5 linked regions of the Coturnix japonica genome follow. The protein of the gene in region 1 purifies or fractionates together with the protein of each later gene. This does not show direct contact. Links are inferred from orthologs where the notes say so. Each region holds a gene or a part of one and is shown on either strand. Other genes may lie near its edges.

Evidence for each region. The genes of interacting proteins can lie anywhere in the genome.
Region 2: the proteins of MMS19 (region 1) and PRIM1 purify together in Homo sapiens (affinity purification with western blotting; 3 studies listed by BioGRID and IntAct, with this or other methods). This does not show direct contact. The link is inferred for Coturnix japonica from reciprocal best matches to the Homo sapiens genes MMS19 and PRIM1.
Region 3: the proteins of MMS19 (region 1) and PRIM2 purify together in Homo sapiens (affinity purification with western blotting; 5 studies listed by BioGRID and IntAct, with this or other methods). This does not show direct contact. The link is inferred for Coturnix japonica from reciprocal best matches to the Homo sapiens genes MMS19 and PRIM2.
Region 4: the proteins of MMS19 (region 1) and PPAT purify together in Homo sapiens (affinity purification with mass spectrometry; 3 studies listed by BioGRID and IntAct, with this or other methods). This does not show direct contact. The link is inferred for Coturnix japonica from reciprocal best matches to the Homo sapiens genes MMS19 and PPAT.
Region 5: the proteins of MMS19 (region 1) and CIAO3 purify together in Homo sapiens (affinity purification with mass spectrometry; 3 studies listed by BioGRID and IntAct, with this or other methods). This does not show direct contact. The link is inferred for Coturnix japonica from reciprocal best matches to the Homo sapiens genes MMS19 and CIAO3.

What each region holds. Positions count from the first base shown.
Region 1 is NC_029521.1:19,483,586-19,487,698, reverse strand, and holds the start of MMS19 (MMS19 nucleotide excision repair protein homolog), read right to left. Parts: upstream 2,801-4,113; 5' UTR 2,715-2,800; coding exon 2,627-2,714; intron 657-2,626; coding exon 608-656; intron 1-607. Other genes in the region: UBTD1 (ubiquitin domain-containing protein 1), read left to right, coding at 2,959-3,205. UniProt on the Homo sapiens protein: Key component of the cytosolic iron-sulfur protein assembly (CIA) complex, a multiprotein complex that mediates the incorporation of iron-sulfur cluster into apoproteins specifically involved in DNA metabolism and genomic integrity.
Region 2 is NC_029544.1:1,686,240-1,690,304, reverse strand, and holds the start of PRIM1 (DNA primase small subunit), read right to left. Parts: upstream 2,801-4,065; 5' UTR 2,526-2,800; coding exon 2,423-2,525; intron 2,310-2,422; coding exon 2,152-2,309; intron 2,069-2,151; coding exon 1,962-2,068; intron 1,794-1,961; coding exon 1,720-1,793; intron 1,582-1,719; coding exon 1,445-1,581; intron 1,377-1,444; coding exon 1,318-1,376; intron 863-1,317; coding exon 753-862; intron 637-752; coding exon 545-636; intron 475-544; coding exon 330-474; intron 185-329; coding exon 115-184; intron 16-114; coding exon 1-15. Other genes in the region: retinol dehydrogenase 16-like, read left to right, coding at 3,062-3,374, 3,445-3,703, 3,992-4,065. UniProt on the Homo sapiens protein: Catalytic subunit of the DNA primase complex and component of the DNA polymerase alpha complex (also known as the alpha DNA polymerase-primase complex - primosome/replisome) which play an essential role in the initiation of DNA synthesis.
Region 3 is NC_029518.1:79,161,343-79,165,617, reverse strand, and holds the start of PRIM2 (DNA primase large subunit), read left to right. Parts: upstream 1-1,475; coding exon 1,476-1,629; intron 1,630-2,489; coding exon 2,490-2,593; intron 2,594-2,870; coding exon 2,871-2,950; intron 2,951-4,275. UniProt on the Homo sapiens protein: Regulatory subunit of the DNA primase complex and component of the DNA polymerase alpha complex (also known as the alpha DNA polymerase-primase complex) which play an essential role in the initiation of DNA synthesis.
Region 4 is NC_029519.1:58,388,138-58,392,312, reverse strand, and holds the start of PPAT (amidophosphoribosyltransferase), read right to left. Parts: upstream 2,801-4,175; 5' UTR 2,678-2,800; coding exon 2,550-2,677; intron 958-2,549; exon of another isoform or gene 943-957; coding exon of another isoform or gene 922-942; intron 912-921; exon of another isoform or gene 1-911. Other genes in the region: PAICS (multifunctional protein ADE2), read left to right, coding at 3,104-3,122, 3,478-3,675. UniProt on the Homo sapiens protein: Catalyzes the formation of phosphoribosylamine from phosphoribosylpyrophosphate (PRPP) and glutamine.
Region 5 is NC_029529.1:5,995,599-5,999,759, forward strand, and holds the start of CIAO3 (cytosolic iron-sulfur assembly component 3), read left to right. Parts: upstream 1-1,361; 5' UTR 1,362-1,420; coding exon 1,421-1,486; intron 1,487-1,808; exon of another isoform or gene 1,809-1,910; coding exon of another isoform or gene 1,911-1,943; intron 1,944-2,092; coding exon 2,093-2,188; intron 2,189-2,485; coding exon 2,486-2,629; intron 2,630-2,729; coding exon 2,730-2,862; intron 2,863-3,169; coding exon 3,170-3,304; intron 3,305-3,700; coding exon 3,701-3,819; intron 3,820-4,161.

The sequences.
Region 1 (4,113 bases):
ACTCCTGCTCCCCTGACCATGCTGCTCACGAGCACCTGGTCTCACACAGCAGCACAGCCAAGGTAAGAGGCCTCTTCTCAAGTCAGACCAAGGAAATTGCTCTTGCACCATGCTCCGCAACCAAAAGTCAGGCTCCCAAGATCACAAGAGATGAAAAAGGGCAAAGCCTGCTACAAGGAGACAAAGCTGGAAAGAAATGAGGTTCCCCAATCCCAGCCCGTGACAGCTCAGAGACAGAACTAAAAGCTGAGCGGCAGTCAACTCATGACATGGAGAAGGGCAACTGTGTGGTCAGACAGCTCCTGCTAGGGAGTCTCAGCTGCAATGTGCTCTGCGGCTTGCTGCATGCTGCAACACCTTTCCTCAGTCCCAGGAGAGATTTACAGGCCCCTCCTGCCCTTTCCTGGAGGGCTCCCATGCCCTGAGAGGGCAACGTGCAGTGAGCAGGCAACAAACTTGTGGTGTGTCTGTGTGCCCGGTGGTGCTGAAGGCAGTTTGCACAGGACGAGATGTCAGCACACACTTTTCCTTCTCACTGCCCCTTACTATGGGAATCTCCCCCACAGAGCCCTTACACGATGTATAATGTGTACACAGCTTTCCTTACCCCAGGGCTTCCACAAGCTGCAGAATAGTCCAGCTTCCATCTTTCACCCCTGGAGAAAAGAGATAAAGAGAGTGAACCAAAGAGACTCCCAGACAGTTATTGAGGCAGAGAGCAGCTCTCCCGATGCTCCCTAGGGGACAAAAGAAACCAAGCTCTTAACAAGGCAGTGGTTGAGCCAAACAGCCCAGACATTAACAAGCACTCAGCTTCCATCACCTCTACTCTGAGCAACACCTGCACAAATGCCCTCCAAGGCAGAAAGCACAGAGAAATATGGTTTTGTGGTTACTGTACGACACAGTGCTGGGACTGCTGGAGTGTATTTGCAGCTCTGACTCAGGCACCCCAGCCAGGTTGCTTCACTTACCTCCTGCAACTGAACTGGGGGAAGAGTCACTCCCTAGGAGGCTTTGGTGAGAATCTACTGCACCCTTCAAAAGCCACGGCAGAGGGGCTCCTACCCCTGCAGTCAGTGCAACACTCACCCACTAAAACAGCTCTGCGTGCCTTTGGTCCCCAGGATTCACCATTTCTCTGCCCTGCTGAGGGCTTGTCTACACAATTGGTGGGGCACCCACCTATCAGAAAGCCCAGAGGTTTCATTTGGGACTGTCCCAGGCCTTGCCTCAGCTGGAGTATCCTGCTATTGCCAGCATTTACTGTCTCTTTCTAAAGCAGTTAATTCCAGTATTAAGTTGTGCTGTTCATTGGAGAGTAGTTTCTGTGGATGGAAGAAGAAATGCCCACAATTTCTGTTAGCAAGCAGCCCTGGCTCCAAAGACAGCACTTCCAGTCCCACTTGGCACAAAGAGGATAGGAGGCACGGCATGGAGAGCCATGAGGAAAAAGGAGAGTCCAGCTGGCCGCAGGATGGACAGCCACAGGCTGAAGAAGAGGTGCCTCAAGTGAGACTGAGCTGCTGGCAAAGCCTCTCGCAGGAAAACAGAAGCATGGTAGCAAGCAGGCACTGTGCTTGAGCACAAAGCAGAGTGCTCCTTCACACCTAGGATCCCACCACCTTATTCCAGAGCACAGCTCCTGCATCCTCATGACTCTGACCTCTGCATGATGCAAAAGGTCAGAGACACACCAGTCCCACAGGTGAGCACTGACCTGCTCTACACTTTCAAAGCCTGAATGCAATATTTAGACAAAGGTGCCGGTGACCTCACCAATAGGAAAGAGCTAAAGAGTAACGATCTGGCCACAATCAGCCACCCGTGTTCTTGTGGCTATGAACCCCCTCGCTCTGGTCTCAAAGGTCTGCTCGATTTCACTGTGCATGAGCGAACCACACGAGCCCAGCAGCATGCAGAGCAGCAGCAGCACGCAGCACAGCTGAACTGCGAGCTCAGCTCCAGCTGTGCACCTTGTATCCCAGTGTGCTCCTTTACCAGAAGGGCTGCCCTGCCCTGGTGGTGTTCCTAGAGTGTGAGGCTAAACAGAAGCGAGCAAGTTACCCTTTGTTATATTCTTATTTGAAACCCATCAGCCTTCCCTGACATCTCCCTTTCACGTGCCACATTTCATATATCATTTCCATACACTTTCTTCTCCTTACGTTTCCCCAGCTCCCTTACAATGGGAGTGCAGCAATTCCCAGCGGGCACAATGGATTTCTCTAACGGCGTCATTCGTCTCCCGGTGTTTTAACAGGAGCACACTCAGCCCCTCTGACACACGCTGCCTTACGCAGCCCCAGCTGCGACAGCACCGAGCTGCCTCCCACCTGTCAGGGCACATTGAATGCAGCGCACAAAGGAAGCTCGTTCAACGTGTTTCTTCCCACAGTCACACAGAAGGCGCCGAGCTCAGAATAAACCCTGTCCTTCCCTCAGCGCTACGTGCTGTACCGTAACGCTTCCAGCCGTGACTCCATACAGGTCACGGAGGCCGCACGATGCCGGCATCCCCCCGTCATCCCACGTGTGTCTGTCACAGCGCCGTGCGGCTCGTGGGACCTGGCGGACACGTGGCCCAGCAGCCCCGCACCCCACCCCGCCCCGCCCCGCCCGGTACCTGCGGCCAGCTCCGCGTTGCGCCCGTCGTGCTGCCCGCTCACCCAGTCCCGCACGGCAGCACCGAGCTCCTCCGCTCCCGCCGCCATGTCGGCCCGTTCCCCGGCACACACCGGCCGCGCTCCCGCCGTGCGCACGCGCAGCCCCGAGGCATGAGCCCACGGCACATGCGCGACCCCGGCGCCCCCTCCTCACCTCGCCCCCCCGGCCGGTATTGGTGGGGGCGGCACGGCGCTGTACGGCGGCGCGGGAGGGACAAAAGCCGCGGGCAGGACGGACGCGCGCACGTGGGCGGCGCTCCCCGCGGGGCCGCGGCCGCGACGGGGCGGTCACATGCGCACGTGGGGGGCGGGGCGCGCCCAGGGCCGGCTTTGGCGGCGGGGCGGCTCGGGCGGTCGGAGTCGGGCGGGGCGGTTTGACGACGCCGGAGCCCGCGGTGCAGCGCGGCGTGGAGCCCGGCCGGACACATGCCGAGCCGCCCGCGCCGCCGCCGCCGTCGGTGAAGCCCCGGCCATGGGCGGCTGCGTGGGGCGGCAGCGCCGGGAGCGGCCCTCAGCGGGGAGCCCCCGCAAGAGAGCAGGTGAGCGGCACCGCAGGGCGCGGGGCGTCCGGTCGCGGCGTGCCCGGTGCTGGAGCTGTCCGCACGGCACCGCCGGCCGTTCTCTTCCTGCCGCCCGGTTGGGGTCGGTCCCGGGTCGTCCCGGCTCTTCGCTGTGCCGGGGATTCCCCCGCTCGTTCCCCGTGCGCCCCGTCGGTGCCGTGCCGTACCGTGCCGTGCCGTGCCGGGCTCCCGGTTCGAGCCGCCGCGCATCCCCGGCGTGACCCCGTAGTGCCGCGGTGCCCGTGCCGGGATTGGCTCGTGGTGCCCCGCCAGCCCCTCGTGTCCCCGGCCCGTCCCCAGCACCGCTCGCTCGGACCGGCCGGGCTGGGGGCAGCGCTCCCGCTGCTGCAATTCGCCCCGTTGCGCCCCATCGTTCCCCAACGGGCCCCGCCAAGCGCCGGGCGGGCGGCACGGTGAGTCACTGCCCGCCCGCTGCACCCACACGGGGAGGAGCAGGAAGCACCGGGCGCGGGGACCCCGCGGCGTGGGCCTCTCACGGGAGAGGTTTTCCCACTGACCGGTGCCCGGCTGTCACGGAGCGGGCGGTGCTGCAGGATGCTGCTGGGCACACAGAGCAGGGCTCGGATCTGTGCGCTGTGCTGCTCGCTGTCCTCGTGTCCCCTCCTTCCCCCAGCACTGCAACCCGAGGCTGGGGGCTCTGAGCTGCTCCGGCTCATAGGTGGCTCATAGGAGGGCTGACCCTGCGGGCTGCAGGGTGCTGGAAGTTGTCTGTCCGGAGCAGCCCTGCAGGGAGCTGAGCTGGGCAGCAGCAGGTACGGCATGTTGGGTTTGAGTGAGAGCACAGCTGGGCAACTCCTGACCCCCCGTGTCCCCCGAGGGTGTGGAGTTGCACAACGGCTGGGAATAGAGCAACACAAGATGATTAG
Region 2 (4,065 bases), on another chromosome or scaffold:
TCCTGGCACAGCGAGCTGCATGGAAGGACAATGCAGGACATGGTGGGGGGGGGCTGCTCATAATAGGGGCTACCCACAACCAGGGCTCCCCCCACACCGACCCCATGTACCGACCTGATGGTGGGCACTGAGAATGGGTCGAACTCATCCAACCTCTGCAGGTCCAGCGGCACCGAGATGCGACCTACAAGGGACAGAGATAGGGGAAGGTGAAGAGAGGTGCTGCATGGGGTGCCCATAGCAGGGTGCTGACCCCACAACCAGCTGCACCCCCCCCATTTTGGGGTACCCGCCTGCTTTGGGGTACCCCCCTGTTTTAGGGTACCCACCTGTTTTGGGGTGGACACTAAAGGGGCTCTTCAGGAGGTGCCCGATGCCTTTGCTGACGTTGATGTCGAGCCGTGGGAAGCAATACTGCAGCATGATCTCCCAGTCTGCATAACACGCCGTGCCCTTCCCGCTGCCCGCAGCCCGCTGTGGGTACAGGTAGTCAAGGGGCAGCACGGCCCCATAGCTGCCCCATAGCTGCCCCATAGCCACTCACCCGCGTCCTCTCCATGCGGCCCTTGAGCAGCTCCCAGCGCTGCCCCGAGTCACGTTTCTTGGGGAACTCAGTGTGCAGCAGCTCCCGGTGCTCTGCGGGGCTGTTAAGGGCCATCACAGCCAACACAACCCCCCCCTGAGCCCAGCAGATGGAAGGATAGAAGGAGAGAAGGAGAGAAGGAGAGAAGGAGAGAAGGATAGAAGGATACCGTCTGGAACCAGAGCAAGCACTTTGTCCCAGCGCTCGGGGCTGCCCAGGATGTCCTGGCCCTGCAGTGCATACGCCTCGAAGTATTTCTCCACCACGTTCACTGAGCGTCTGAGGAGCAGATGGAGAAGCTCAGAACCCCATAACCATCAGCTCAACACCCCATAACCATCAGCTCAGCACCCCATAACCATCAGCTCAACACCCCATAACCATCAGCACAACACCCCATAACCATCAGCACAACACCCCATAACCATCAGCACAGCACCCCACAACCATCAGCTCAGCACCCCACAACCATCAGCACAGCACCCCATAACCATCAGCTCAGCACCCCACAACCATCAGCTCAGCACCNAACCATCAGCTCAGCACCCCACAACCATCAGCTCAGCACCCCACAACCATCAGTTCAGCACCCCACAACCATCAGCACAGCACCCCACAACCATCAGCTCAACACCCCATAACCATCAGCACAGCACCCCACAACCATCAGCTCAGCACCCCACAACCATCAGCACAACACCAGGCAGAGCACCCCCATCCCCATCCCCACCCACCTGATGAATGGATGCACAGGCTCTGACAGATTCACCTTCTTCACCGTCTCAGCTCCACCCTGTTAATGTCAGATTGTTCAGCCCAACCAGGTGGGCAACACAACCCCCCCCCCCTCCATACACCCACCTTGACCAGGCTCAGATACTCCACAGCAGCAGCTCTCAGAGCTGGGGACCATTTACGTACGGCGTCATCACAGACCCAGCAGTGGACACCTCTCCTTCCTGAGTACACCCACAGCCGGTGCTTCATGCCCAGGTCCTCTATGGGGCACAGTGGGGCTGGGGGAGCACTCCAGGCACTCCAGCCCCATAGCAGTGCTCCCCCAGACCCATTTGAAGGCATCACAATGGACAGCAGGGTCTGGATACGTGCTCAATGCACATCCCTGCATCCCTCACCCACGAGTGCACGGTCGATCACACGGACAGCGATGGTCATCAGAGTCCAACACTTGGAGCAGATATCAGCCGAGCTGTGGGCAGAGCACAGCGGTCAGATGGGTGCCAAGCATCCCCCCCCACGGCCAACTGGGCTCTATGGGGCTGCAACCCCCCCCATCCCATCCCCAACCCCCCCCATGGCTAACGGGGCCCTATGGGGCTACAACCCCCCCCTCCCCATCCCAAACCCCCCCAGGGACCTGCAGCACGTCCGGACATCATCATAGTCGGTCATATCGATATCAAACACCAGCTCCTTCTCCACGGGTTGGAACGCCCCGAGGTGCACCGTGTTGTGCTGGTTGGGCTGCGGGGAGCACAAGGGGTCACATCCCGCAGCCACCGGGGGGTTTAGGGGTGGAAGAAGGGGAGTGGGGGGGGGATACGAACGCGATGCGAATATACGGCCCCGATGTCGATCTTATAGGGGTTGGTCCTTTGCAGCTCCTTCTCCAGCTCCTGCGGGCTGCAGAACGACTGGAACCGCACGTAAACGTCGTCCCGCAGCGTGAAGGAGAACTCCCGAAGCTGGAAATAGTTCTTCTCCACTGCGGGGATGCGGAGAGGGTCGGGTTGGGGGGGTTGGGGGGATTGGGGGGGTTGGGGGGGATGTAGACCCCACCGATTCGCCGTCCCGACCCCGCCCGGTCCCTTCGCTCACCGCCGCCGTAGCCGAGCCAGCGGCCGTAAGCGCCGTGTGGGAAGAGCCGTCGGTAGAACACCGGGAGAAGCTCCGGTAACGCAGCCGGTTCGAACGGCGCCATGACGGGAAGCGGAGGGAAACGGCGGGACCGAAAGAAACCGAGTGGTCGCTGGGAGATGTAGTGCGACCCCTCCCGGAACGGAGCTGAACCGCTCCGACAGCGCCGGCCGTCGGGGAACCGGAGCGGGTTAACGGGGACCCCCGGGGGGGCTCAGCACCGGCACCGACCCCGTCCCTGCTTTGAACAGCGGCCGAGTCCCGGGAGCGGAGCCCCTGAGACCCCCCATAAGTTGGGTGGTGGTTCGAGGGCAGCTCAGCCCCGTGCCAACGAGGGGCGGCTTTGCCAACGAGCCGAGGGGCCACGGATGGGGATTGAAATCACGGGACGTGGGAGGACGGGCTGAGCCGCTGCCCGGCCCCGTATTCAGATGTGTTGGCACTGACACACACCGGCCCCGAGGAGTTGGGCCGGTCCAAGGTCGGCACGGGCCGGAGCCAGAGCTCAGGGCTGCGCTTTGTGCCGTGTCCACGCGAGTCCCGGCCGCCTCCACGTCCCGTTCCTCCTCCTCGTCGTGCTCCTCCTGCTGCCGCCCCACCATGTGGCTGTGGCTGCTGGCGCTGCTGGGGCTGTGGCTGCTGCGGCGTTGGAACCTGGAGCGGCAGACGGTGGGCGGCCTGGACGAGAAGTTCGTGCTGATCACGGGCTGCGATTCGGGCTTTGGCAGCCTGCTGGCACGGCAGCTGGACGCGAGGGGGCTGCGGGTGCTGGCGGGCTGCCTGAGCGAGGCCGGGGCCGCGAGGCTGCGGGCGGCCGCCTCGTCTCGCCTGCAGACCGTCCTGCTGGACGTCACGTCCAGCGACAGCATCGCCGCCGCCGCCGCGTGGGTGCGGGAGCGAGTGGGGGACAGAGGTAGGAGGGGGTCGGGGTGTGGGGAGTGGGCGCCCAGCGGGGGTCTCGGCTCATCCCGGCCCTATTGCAGGGCTGTGGGGGCTGGTGAACAACGCCGGCATCGCCGTCCCCTCCGCCCCCAACGAGTGGCTGAGGAAGGAAGACTTCGTGGCGGTGCTGAACGTCAACCTGGTGGGGCTGATCGAGGTGACTCTCAGCCTCCTGCCGCTGATCAAGAGGGCGAGGGGCCGCGTGGTCAACGTGGCCAGCGTGGTGGGCCGGCTGTCCATCTTCGGGGGCGGCTACTGCCCGTCCAAGTTCGGCGTGGAGGCGTTTTCCGACAGTCTGCGGTGAGTCCTGCTCCCCCCTGCTCTGCCTGGCAGCGTTATGGGGCTGGTCGGACCCCGCTACTCGGACCTTGCCCCGCTGTGTGTCCCATGGAGCGGCTCCAATGTTTGCTCTGACCCCATCCCGTCCCACTGCGGTCAGTGTTTGCTCGTGCACCATCCCAGCCTCATGCTGGGCTGCTCGTGGTGCCCTCTGTGGTTGGGTTTCCCTGCTGTGCCCCATAGCGAGGCCGTCCCCACTCAGCCCACCCCCCTTTGCTGCTCCCATCCCATTGCATCGCTGCCTTCCAGGCTTGAGATGAGGCACTTCGGGGTGAAGGTGAGCATCATCGAGCCGGGTTACTTCAAAACAGCCATCACCGGTT
Region 3 (4,275 bases), on another chromosome or scaffold:
GCTGGACATGAGCCAGCAGTGTTTGCTTGCAGCCCAGCGACTGACTGTGGCTCTGGGTAGCGAGGTCTAGTGGTTGGTGACCCTGCACATAGTAGAGGGGTTGATCATTGTGGTCCCTTTCAACCCAGGCCATTCTTTGATTCATTGTATGATTTCTTGGGAAGTACCCTGAAAGATGATGCTAAGGGACTGAAAATAAGATATATAACAGAATATAGAGCTGGTAAGTGTGTTTACCATAGCAGCCTAAGCATACTGAATACGCATGCAGGGAGAAGGCAACCTGTCAGAATTACTTTAGGATGACAGTGAGATGTATCTAGATTTCCTCCACCTGTGTGCTAGAGTTTTGGATGGGCAATGTGGGGATACAATCCTTTAACCTAAAGCCCTGATGAGTGATTTAAAATGTCACAACGGATGCAACCATCATTACTCCCTACTTTAATATATTAACACTGAGAGACCAAGAATGTATTCTGACTAAAATAGCCCCTTGAGCCTCTCTTCAGTTCATGATTCATGCTTTGCTCACTTTGGAACATGAAGGAGTTTAAAGGCCAGCTCAGTACATTTCCCATTTATTTATAGTTAACACAAAGGTATCTGCTTATCACAGTCAGAAGAAAAAATATCTTAGTGTAACTTGAATGGCAGATATTTTACGAAGTAGAAAATAACTGGGCTCCCAAGAATTAGCAGTGCTGTGGACACTGCTAATTGGTATAACAACAGGGGAACAGATAACATTCAATCATGTTTACTGCAAAACAAGGGCTTTGTTGTTCTGTTATTTCGGTAGCACAACAGTAGGAGTTTGAGGTATGCTGGATTGGACTGTGCTTAGTTGGGGCTGTGGGGACAGTTTGACAGCTGGCCATATGGATGTTGTAAAACATTTGTCAGGTGGGTAGTTGGAACACCAGCGTTTCTGCTAACAAACACTTCTAAAATCAGAGTCTGCTGGTAACGTTGCTGTGGAAATGATGAAAATAGAAAGGGAAAAAAGTAAGTAAAATGGTATTGTGAGAACTATTGCTGTGTATAGGTTTTGATTTGGTAAGTCAGTAGGAAAGTTTGGGTTATGACACCTACTGAGTTGTGGTGTTTTCCCCCACGGAGATACCTATCCCCTACTTTGTTTCCACTTCCCAAGAGAAGGATTTCTGCGTGAAGGAGCTGGCAGCCCCCTCACAAGGTATTGCATGGTGAGATTTGAGTCAGGTAATAGAGGCTCCCCGCTGCAGGTGCTGAGAGAACTACCATAGAGTGCCTTTGGCGGCTAGAGAGCCCACAGCCGACATGTTGTTTGTGGGTAAAAGCGGGGCGGAAATTAGCGAGCAGGAAGCAGGCGGGGCGACCGCTGCGCGGGAAGCCGGAGCGGGTCCTGGTGTTGGCTTGGGGCTGGTGGGATCTTGTGTGACCCTTCAGCCCCGTCCCTCAGCCCTTTTCGTTTTCTTCGGTCCGCTCTGCAGATGGAGTTCAGCAGCAGAGCGCGGCAGCGGCACCTGAGGCTGGCGGGGGACAAGCGGGAGCCGTACCCCCACAGCCTGCAGTTCTACCAGGAGCCCCCCACCGAGACCATCTCTCTGAACGAGTTCGAGAGCTTCGCTGTCGACCGCCTGAGGCGTGAGTAGTGTGAGCTCTGAGCGATTTCACAGTTCAACTGAAGTGCATACAAATCGCTATTATGTGGTATTGGGTTATAGCCTTGTTTTTCAGGGTCTCTGGATGCCTCTCTTGGATGTCTCTGTGCAGGCACTGAGGTCATGGCTGGGAGCAGTGCCCCCAAAGAGCCACAGAATGCAGGTCTCTGTCCCTGCAGTGCAGCTGGATGCTCTGGGGCTGATCTTTCTCCCTGCTCTGCTCCCTGCCTGGATTTTAGGGCTGGGCGAGCTGTCAGGTTGGACTGACATAGTAGGCGTGGTGTTGATGGGTTGGTGTTTGGACTAGATGATCTCAGTGTTCTCTTCCAACCTGAATGATTCTGTGATAGGTCCTGTGGGCTATGGATGAGTTGGGCCATGCTTTGTCTTTCTAAATTCTTATCCTTTTACTCCTGATACTGCTAACAGGAGTTTGCATGGCCTTTATTTAGTCCTTTTTTCAAGTCATGATAGAGTTAGCTTCCTTTTCAATATGTTATCATAGAATTATAGAATGGCTTGGGTTGGAAGGGACCTTTAAGATCCTCTAGTTCCAACCTCCTGCTATAGGAAGGGACACTTCCCTCTAGACCAGGTTGCTCAAAGCCCCTAGCACTGAATGCTTCCAGGGAGGGGGCATCCACAGCCTCTCTGGGCAACCCGTTCCTGTGTCTCACCATCTTCACAGTAAAGAATTTCCTCCTAATATCTAGTCTGAATCTACCCTCTTCCAGTTTAAAGTCATTTCCCTTCATCCCTTCACTACCTGCATATTGTGACTATATGGACTACAACTAACTGTGTTCTAACTATATGAACTATGTTTTTTTTTTTTCTCCTCAGTGCTCAAGGTAGTTGAAAACCTTGGTGTGAGCTATGTAAAAAGTGGTGATGCGTACAAAAGTAAGCTGGAGGCTGAGCTCCGGAAACTTAAGTTTCCCTACAGAGTAAGTATAAATAGAAACAAGCAGCTATTTCTTTTGCACTCTATTTTCTGTACACTGTTCAGAAATTCTGCACAAATTACTATTCCTAAAGCTTGTATTCTGGCAGCTTGTCTTTAACTTAAACTTTGTCTTTAAAAATACATGTTTATTTTGGGCAGTCTGCCTCTTTAATAGTCCTGTGTTTGAGGTTATAGATATAAGTATTGATATGATGTGAAACAGCAGTGGTGGATAAACTGTGGATTTCTAATCTAATTTCTAATAACATTTTCTGTAGGCTTTGGCTGAAGATGATTATGATGCAAGAAGAAAGGACCATATTTCTCATTTCATACTGCGCCTTGCTTACTGTCAGTCGTAAGTACTTTTTGGATTACTTTTTGGTCTTGTTACTAAGTTTAAGTGTATGTGTGTATACATATTGTTATAGATTGCATAGGGCTGTATCTGTATGGCTACTAAACAGAAAGGTAGTTCAAGTAGAGGTTTACTTTTCTGGAAAGCTGATTTCAACTGTGATGATAAGAGATATTCAGGATCAGAATTAATATCCACATTATATAGTTTTTTTAGTCTTATAATATAGAAACTGTTGATTGTACATATGGAGTATTGATAAAAGTCACTTTCTTTATTTTCAAGAAAGAAATCAAAAGGCAGCCAGTTTTGTCAGTCATTGATTTATCTGATTACAGAGAATTTAAATGAACTGCTCCATATATTTCAGCTGTTGCTTACTTGACCAAATGACCTGAGTAAGCTGGTTATGTGAATAGGCTTTATGGTGCTATCTAAAGAGAGCCTTATTTCTCAGAAACCAAAAATACTGAATCTGAGGTTTTCTCCACTGCTTGTTATTTTCTTCTAAAGTAATTGATTTTTACATTTTTATTTGTTTATTTATTTTGTCATGTGAAATCTAAGGCACGTAGTTTGTCAAGTGCTTTCGTTCTGTTTCTGCAATAGGCTCTGGGTGAAGTTGTACAGGTTGTCAGTGCCTTATGTCTATTAACAGCTTTGTTGTGCATCATCCTGACTCCTTGCCATTGCAGTCCTGTTTTATAGTTAAAACTAGTGAGTGTGTGTTCTCTCTTGAGAAGTGGCTATTTCTGAAATGAAATATTTGAAATGAAATATTACTCTCTAAAGCCAGATGTTCTCCAAAAGATAAATTTGTGAGTCAAATACCCAGTTCTGCAGGGTTTTATTGTATTAGGTCAGAAAAAATTTGCACAAATTGCTACACTAGGTGATGAAAGCAACTAAGATAGCAATCTTTGAAAAGTCTGCTTAACATAGCTGTGAAGTTGCTTGATTTCAGTTCCTGGTTGCTTGGCAGAGGGGGTGTTGACAGGCCTGTTCTGCTATGCCTAAGTTTCTAGCAGTCCAACAGTGCCACCCAGTGGTGCAAGTCTTCATCATCTTTTTTCTGCATCAGACCTCTGATAATGTGGATTTTGCTTTGTACTGGTTTGTACATGGGCAAAATGGCATGAAGTGATCAGCTGCACCTTGTTTGGGCTGGTAATAGAGTCATAGCCTTTCACTGTCCTTCTGCCTTCTGAAATCCAAGGCTTTAAAACTTACTCTTGTGTAACATTCCTAAGGTAGGATTTGTGCAGTCTTGAGTGAACAGGTTCATCCTTACCCTTCATTCATACCTCTAATGTCACTTAAATCCA
Region 4 (4,175 bases), on another chromosome or scaffold:
GTATCAGAAAAGCAAGTTTTCTTCTCCATTTACTTCCATTCTCCTAACAAATTCCACACACAGACCCAGCTGAGCTGGGACAGGCAGGATTCCCTTCCTTAACCAGGCTTCCACCTGCACAGCAGAGGACTTTCAAAGACCTTGTTGAAATGAACATCAGTTTCAGCACACGGCATTACTGCCAAAAGTATTTTCCAGAGAATTTTGCAAAAAGTTAACAGGAATCACACTTGTTCCAAGATTAACGTTGCAAATTTGTCCTGGTCAAGGACTTCAATGACGTTTAATAGATTTGTAACTCAAAGTACTCCTCCTCCCTCTCTCACTGCCCCCAAGAAAACCCTCTCCTTACCAATATCCCTTAACTTGACTTTGGTTTGCTGTCCTTGGATTTTACTTTGTTCTCTAGCTTACTTTTCATAAAGATGACTTAGAATATGTCCTTAGTTAAACTGGGACTGTGTTCTTAGTGCAGGGAAGGCCTTGATTAGTGCGCAAGCAGGAATACGCTCAGTTTTTTGTTTCAATTCATGGTACATGACTATAAAGTAAAAGCCAATAAAAAGCCATATTCTGCCTTCCTTAAAGGACAATTTCTGACATGTATAGCATAAGAATAATTAGCAATGTAAAAGAATTGTGACCGTGCTCATCTCAGGCCAGTAGTCATTATCTAAACATCCCTATTAATCTCAGTGTGAGGCCTAAGGGATGTAGCTTCCAATGGACAATGAAACCTCTGTTAGTTGCTCAGGACATGGTTGGGACTATCCATTAATATTAACTGCATCTCTCTTTCAGATTTAATCCCCAAAAGGAATATGGCTAAGAGACACTTCTTAGCTTTTCAGTTTAAAAGAACAGACTTAACAAAATTTACCAATGCAGTTAATGCTATCTATCTTATTCTTGGTTTTCAAGAGATACTCCAAAAAGAAGTAAGAACAAACTTGGTACCTTATTACCTCCGGAAAGGGATGGCACATTTCACTGCACCTCACAGCAGAATGCTAAGGAGAAGTACAGAGAGGATGGACAGAAATGGCAAAGAAGGAAATGGGAAAGTTAACATCTCAGCTATATAACACTTGATATTGACTGCTTGCAAATGTGTATCAAGTTGAATGTCCGTTCACTTTACAGTGAGAGCAAACAAGTTTCATTTTACACTTACATCCAAGTTTATGTCTCCAAGAAAGCATCCTTTGAGAATTTTGACCCATACTGAGATAAGAGATCAGCATCAGAGGTAGGGCCTGTATGACATTAGGAGCTTATGCTGTAGTTTTGCATAACTTGCAAATAGCTTACAGCTTCAGCCACAACGTTAGCATTATTATCATATAAGGCACCACAGGAGATATTTGATATTAAAGAGCTCACGGAAATCAAAGTCAAGTGTCCATTACAAAAAGAGAGGAAGAAAGCTATGTGTTGAACAAGGTTGCAGTAAAAACTGAGAGTAAGCTGCAAAGAGATGAAAGTACAGCATTTTATTTCCAACTAAGAAACTTCACCCAAGTCCAGCAGCGTGACTGTAAGCATAAATGAACTAGGATGTTTTTCCAGGCTCTTTCCAGAAAAATGGCTCAACCAAAAATGAGGCCACTGATCACATGGCTTCATTCCTTACATTCTGTTGCTTTATCATCCCCAATAAAAACGATTTTGATGGGCACTGGCAAACATGTACAGTTCATGAATGATGGTACACCTGCAACCCAAAGAAAACTGTTAGGATGTAAGTGCAAGTTTTTTTTACCTGTAAATGTATGAGACTGGGCTCTAACAGAAAAACTGACTGCATCTTCTACTGTTTCTACTACCCAAAACAAATTCGGAGCAACCCTTACATGTTTGTGACCTCAAAATATAGAGAATAAATCTGTGCATGTGTACTTAGAGCAGCACGCCTTCCCGAGCTGCCCTGCATGTCAATGTTCCTACCGTTCACCCAGAGGAAGTTAAGCAATATTATGCAGGTGTTCGTAGGCCAGCGGGGCCACACACAGCATGTGCGTGCGGCTGCTCCCACGAGGAGCTCGCACTTTCCTCAATGAATCGCGGTGAATGCAGTTTCCTTTACACAGCTATAGAGGTACCTCAGGTAGACGCCGAGTTTTATTATTATGATGCATCTGAACGGTTACGGCTAAGAGGAACTTAGGACTCCTCGAGAACCGCTCTGGTTCTGTAGATTCAGGTCGGTGGGATTGCATTTAGGGACGCTCAATGCCGGGCATAGCATGGCGTGGCACGGCACGGCATGGCAGGGCATGGCAGCGGGTCCTTGAGAGCCAGGCGCATCCCTGCCACCCCCCGCACGGCCGGGCCGGGGCGATGCCGCTTCGTTGGCTGCAGGCGAAGTCCGCGGAGTGCCCGGGAGCCGCTGCTGCTGAGGGCCCGGGGAGGCTGCCCGGCTGCCGCGGGATGGAACAGGACGGGCCCCCGGCAGCCCCGCTCCTCTTCACCCTTCGGTGGGGCGCCCCGGCCCGGCGCCCGGCCACGCGTTAACTTCCCCCTGCAGGGTCGGGCGCCGTCCCCCTTACCTGTGCTGCAGCCCCACCAGCCCCAGCGTGATCACATGGGGCACGTCCAGCTCGGTGGGCCACACTCCGGAGGCGATGCAGCCGAACACGCCGCACTCTTCGCGGATGCCCAGTTCCTCCAGCTCCATGGCGGCACGTGGCGGCGGGACCCGACCCGGCCCGTCCCGCTCCGCTCCGGCGGATCCTCCCGCGCTCTCCTACGGGCACCGCGCGCAGCCGCCGGTCCCCGCCGGGCGGCCTCCTCATTTACATGCGGGGGGGGCTCCGGCCTCGCTCCCCGCCCGGCCCCCCCTGCGCTCTCCACCCCCCGCCCCGCCGCCGGGACCGCGGGGAGCCGGCATTGGCCGAGGCGGGACGGGGCAGCGTGCGCTCGGGGGGTGGGGATGGAGGGGCGCGGGTCGGCCCCGCCGTGTTGGGCGCCGATTGGAGCGCGGGATCCGCTCCCCGCCTGCCCGCCCCTTCCGCCGGGCCCTTCTTACCCCGCGGCGGGTCGGCCGCGTGCGTTCAGCTCCTCTCCTGTGCTCTAGGTGCCTGTTGCCGCCGCCGTCGCCGCCATGGCCCCCGCAGCATCAGGTAACGCGCGCCGCGACCGCTGGGTGCTGAGGGGGTGGCGGTCGCGGGGAGGAGGGCGTAGGAGCGGGACTCGGAGCCGCACTGTGCTGTTGTGGGGCTGTGCTGTTGTTGTGTGGCTGTGCTCCGCGTTCGGGTGTCTGCGGAAAAGTTTCTGTTGGCCACGTTTCTCGTTCCGTCGCTGATGTTGCTGTCCGTGTCCCGGAGTTGCGGTCACAGCACCGCGGGACGTGCCGCTCAGCTGCGCTTCGGCATCTGGATGCAGCGAGCAAGTTGTGAAGGCTTAAGTGTGCTGACGTACGCAACCAAAACTCTGCATCTAAAACGCTCCTCATTGTGTTTTATTTTTTTTCTTTAGAACTGAAACTTGGTAAAAAAGTTAACGAAGGTAAAACGAAAGAAGTGTACGAGCTGCCTGATATCCCGGGATGCGTTCTGATGCAGTCCAAGGACCAAATAACTGCGGGGAATGCTGCCAGGAAGGACCGGATGGAGGGGAAGGCTGCCATCTCCAACACCACCACCAGCTGCGTGTTCCAGCTGCTGCAGGAAGCAGGTTTGTATTGCAAAGGTAGAATTAATGCCGCCATGCTGCATGTGTTGCCACCCAGCACTGCTGGCTCCGTGCTCTGACTTAGCTTCCCCAAAGGCTCAGATATATTTTGTTCAGGCTTTGTTTCTAGTTCACCTTTCCCTCTGATACCACAGAGCTGGATGGACGGCCCAGTCATTTGGTCCACTAGAGTATCTGACATCTGCTGGCCACATATGTCACTGGTACAGGTTCTCCCCTGGTATGGATGTAGCCCTGGTCCTCCTTTCTGCTGCTCAGTCCCAGCTACTCTAAAAACTGTATCATCCACTATGAAAAGTAATTGATTTTAGTTAATCAGCAAAGTCATTGCTAGTGTGTTCTGTGTGTGAGAAAGAAAGAAGGCCTCTGTGGAACTATACCTACTTCTGTGCAAGTAGCTCTTAAAGCAGAGATCGAGGCCTTCTGCAGACAGCTTGGTGAAGAGGAGCCTGTGATTGGGTCATTTGGTATAACCTCCAGCT
Region 5 (4,161 bases), on another chromosome or scaffold:
AAGTAAAACTCAACCATCACATCACACCTTGCCAAAACTTTACATGAAATTCTACTTGCTATCTACCTCCTTCTCTATAATCATTTCTGAGTTGCACAAAGTCAAAAAACCACATGTACCTAACAGTCAAACCTCCTGAATTATAAGCTTAATAAAGCTGAAAAAGAAGTACCGTGAAGCCTGTATTTCCTCTCTCTTGGTAAGGTTTCTGTTCATGTTGGTAATGTGACTGGCTACACTGGAGCAGAAGTATTGTTTAACAGTACCCTAATCCTGTTTAGCTGCCCATCAGGGTACAGAGGTCCTCCTGACACATGAGCAGCCAGGTTTAAGAAGCATGACCAGCTTTAAGTTAACTGACGTCGGAAAAGCAGAGTTCAGCAGCGAGGCTCAGAACTCACACGTGCTCCTGGGAGCCCAGCCCAGCCTTGAAAGACTGCTTAGGAAAAAAACAGGTTGTTACAACATTGGATCTTTGGCCATTAGTTCCGTCTGTACCATGAAACTCACACTGTTCAGAGCATTTGGCATCCAGCTGCTTGTGTCAGCTGCTGTGCCACGTTCTCAGTTCCCAGGTCTTTCGTGTGAACAGGTTCTCCCAAAGCACACACCTTCTACAGCACCAGGAATGAAAGGGTGAGGTGCTGTGGGTATCCAGCAATGCTTTTACTCCATCCTGCCCTGACATGAGTACCGTCAGCGCTTGGACATCTCTATTACGCACTCAAGTGCAGCAAAAAATAGCTATAATTGTCAGGCACTCCTTACTTTGAGTACAAAGCAGCTTTGTATTTTAGAGCTTCAGGAAAATGGTCTCCTGTATGAGTCAGCTGCCTTCTAAAAAGCATGATGTGATTTCAGTAGCTTCCCCTTACAGTAAGGCCGACACCTTGCGATGTAACCAAGCAGTCTGACCTCCCTCTCTGCTCTGTGTATAGATAGACATGCATGGATGCATACACAGCCACCTACAGATGGTGATGTTACATGCAGACAAAATAGAGGAGAGGAAAATGCCTCAGGAGAGTTAGAGATCCAGGCTCATAAACTACCTCCATTTCTTATGTGACTGACCCTAAACCCCATTAAAGACCCCCAGCTTTTAAAGCACTTTCTCCCCACACCAGCACCTTGCTATTACCAGCAAGGGATGTGTTTAATGCATGGTAATGTCATGCCCCTTGCAGGCAGCGCTTAGTAAAGCAGGCTAGGGAAGCTTTAATCCCTTTGTGTCATGTGTGTGTCTTATGATAAGGATCTATCAAGCAAGGCTATCAATAAACCCAACGGAACGTCATTTTGCCTCTATCCTGAATATCACGACAGGGCGCCATATCACGACAGCAGTGTGGCTTTTACGACAGTGTCGCAACTCCTGCCCCTCCCGCTGGCTGCCGCGCTTGACGGCGGCGGCGCTGTCATGGCGTCTCCCTTCAGCGGGGTGCTGCAGCTGACCGACCTGGATGATTACATCGGACCCTCGCAGGTGGGTGTCCAGGGGGGCAAGAACCGCAGGGCCCGGCCTAGGAGAGCCATACTGGAAGGGAAACAGGGAGTAGGGGGGGGGAGGTGAGGAGACAGCACTGTGCGAGTCTAGCTGTGCAGATAGGGCAGTAAAAATGACATAAAATGCTAAAAAAGCCCTTGGGGCTCCATGGTAGAGCAGCACAAAAATCAGGCAACAGCTGTGCTGAGCCTGTCAGAGCCTTTCCGACATGACATGGAACCCCATTGGCAATAGCCGCCCGCTGGCTGTAGTGACCACGCCTCCATCCGTTCCAATTTGCAATGAGGGAATGCGAGATCGTCTGTGAGATCTAAGAGGGGATCAAGGCTCTGTGCTTGTCAAGGCTCCTTTTAACGCAGCTCTGTGATTCGGAAGGGACACAGTCTCCTCTGGCTTTGGTGTGATGCTGAAAAGGTGCTCGTTCTGTAAGAAAGGGGTAAGGTTCTAAGGACCATTTTCCCTTGGTGGATGTAGACACAGTCAGTAGATCTGGCATCATTTAAAGCAGAGTAATAGACATTCGCTCTATTGGGTTTGACCGTTCGAGTCTTGTCTCTTCACTTCTGAGCCTTATTTCTCTTTTAGGAATGTATCAAACCTGTAAAGGTGGAAAAAAAGCCTGGGAAAGCAGCAGCTAAGATCAGAATTGAAGCTGATGGGAGCTATGTTCAGATCACTCAGGTATGCCTGACCTTTCTTTATTGTTGTGTAAGATATCCAGACAATGCTGATGGTTAGTTATGTATTTAAATAAGGTGCCGCTATTTAAGGACCAGGATCTGGGAATGCTGATGACAACAGCAAAATATATTACAAAATCCTTTTTTCCTCACCTTTATTCTTCCTTGTCTGCTCTTGATAAGCCAGGAGGGTAAAGAGGACAATATCCTTATTACTAAACATAGTAAAGATGAGAAACTGCCACCCTACTCAATTCTGTGTTGTGACCAAAACTGAGTCTTATCTGTTTCTTCCCAGGATGGAGAAGCACAGAAACTGGAGAAGGCTAAAATTACTCTGAATGACTGTTTAGCTTGTAGTGGCTGCATTACATCAGCAGAGAGTGTTTTAATCACTCAGCAGAGCCATGAGGAGTTCTCCAAAACTCTAGCTTTTAACAAGGTAAGTGATGAGACAGGGGCGGGTCAGCTGCAGAGTTAGTAGATGTGAGTATTAGTACTGTCTGATCAGCTTTCTTTTGTTGCTGTTATTATTTTTAAAGGCTGCAGCTCCCAATGAACAGAAGCTGGTGGTGGTTTCTGTTTCACCACAATCCAGGGCTTCACTGGCTGCAAAATGTAAAATGAGCATTCTGGAAACAGCAAAGAAGTTGACTGCATTCTTAAAGAGTCAAGGCAAGTGCTGCATTGCGTCCTACCCATGACAGAGGGGACTGCTGGGCTATCCATCAGGCACAGCTTTTATGAGCACCTAAAGGTGATATGAATTAAGAAGTACAAACTTCAGTCACAAAATAAACCTGGAGTAATGGAGGAAAGGAGCTTTAAATTATCCGCATTCCTCCTATGACTTCTGCTCTTGTCCTGCTGTGCTAGAGAAAACAGTTCACTCTCAAATACAGATTGATAGCAGTAAATATGATGTGTAGCTTGCTGCTTGTATCTTCCTTGTGAATTCTAATGTGCATGTTGTACCACTTAGGTGTGCACTATGTATTTGATACAACTTTCTCAAGAAACTTCAGCCTGCTGGAGAGCCAAAAGGAGTTTGTAAAACGCTTCCGAAGGCAATCAGAAGACAAAAAGGCTTTGCCAATGCTAGCTTCTGCCTGTCCAGGTACATTACAAAGTTGGTTACAGAAATAAGATGCCATTCTAATAATACACCTATACAAGAACTCAAAAAGCTAGTCAGAAAAGTTCATATTAATTTGCTTAAAGTATTACTCTTCACAAAGAGAGCTTGGTGTTAATAGTGGTAATGGTCTGTAGAAATACCTACTCGCCTCTATAAATGGAATTGTTACACCTCTTTGCCTTTTGTGCTGAGGCTGAAAATGGTTATGAATGGGTGGTGAGCCTGAGGTTGTGGGCAGAGTGAAGGGGTGCTTGCTATTTATATGTATATATATATATATATATAACTATATATATATATATAGTTATATAGTTATATATAGTTATATAGTTATAGTTACTGATTGCAACTATTTGCTAATTATTCTCTCTTCAGGTTGGATCTGCTATGCAGAGAAAACCCATGGCAGTTTCATCATTCCTTACATCAGCACCACTAAGTCTCCACAGCAGATCATGGGCTCCTTGATAAAGGGCTATTTTGCAGAGCAGCAGGTAAGGTGCATCAAACACAAGCTGATACGTTTTCCTGTACTGTGTACATTAAGGATTGAAGATAATTGTTTTTATCTTGCAAATTGCCAGCAAAGGCATTGTCACTTCTGTGATACCTGTTAAGAAACTTGCAGCTGGGACAGCAGCACTAAGTTCACACTTTGTGGCTTGAAATCTCTATATATTATTCAGGAAGTCTAAGGAATCTGATTTGTCATTATTCTTGTGCTTATATCTCACTCGTCCTGTATGGTATTTTCCTGCTGATCAAGGCTGGTGAATAAGGTAAAATAAACTAACCCAGGACAAAACCTCAGTCAGTGCATACGTGCAGATCATGCC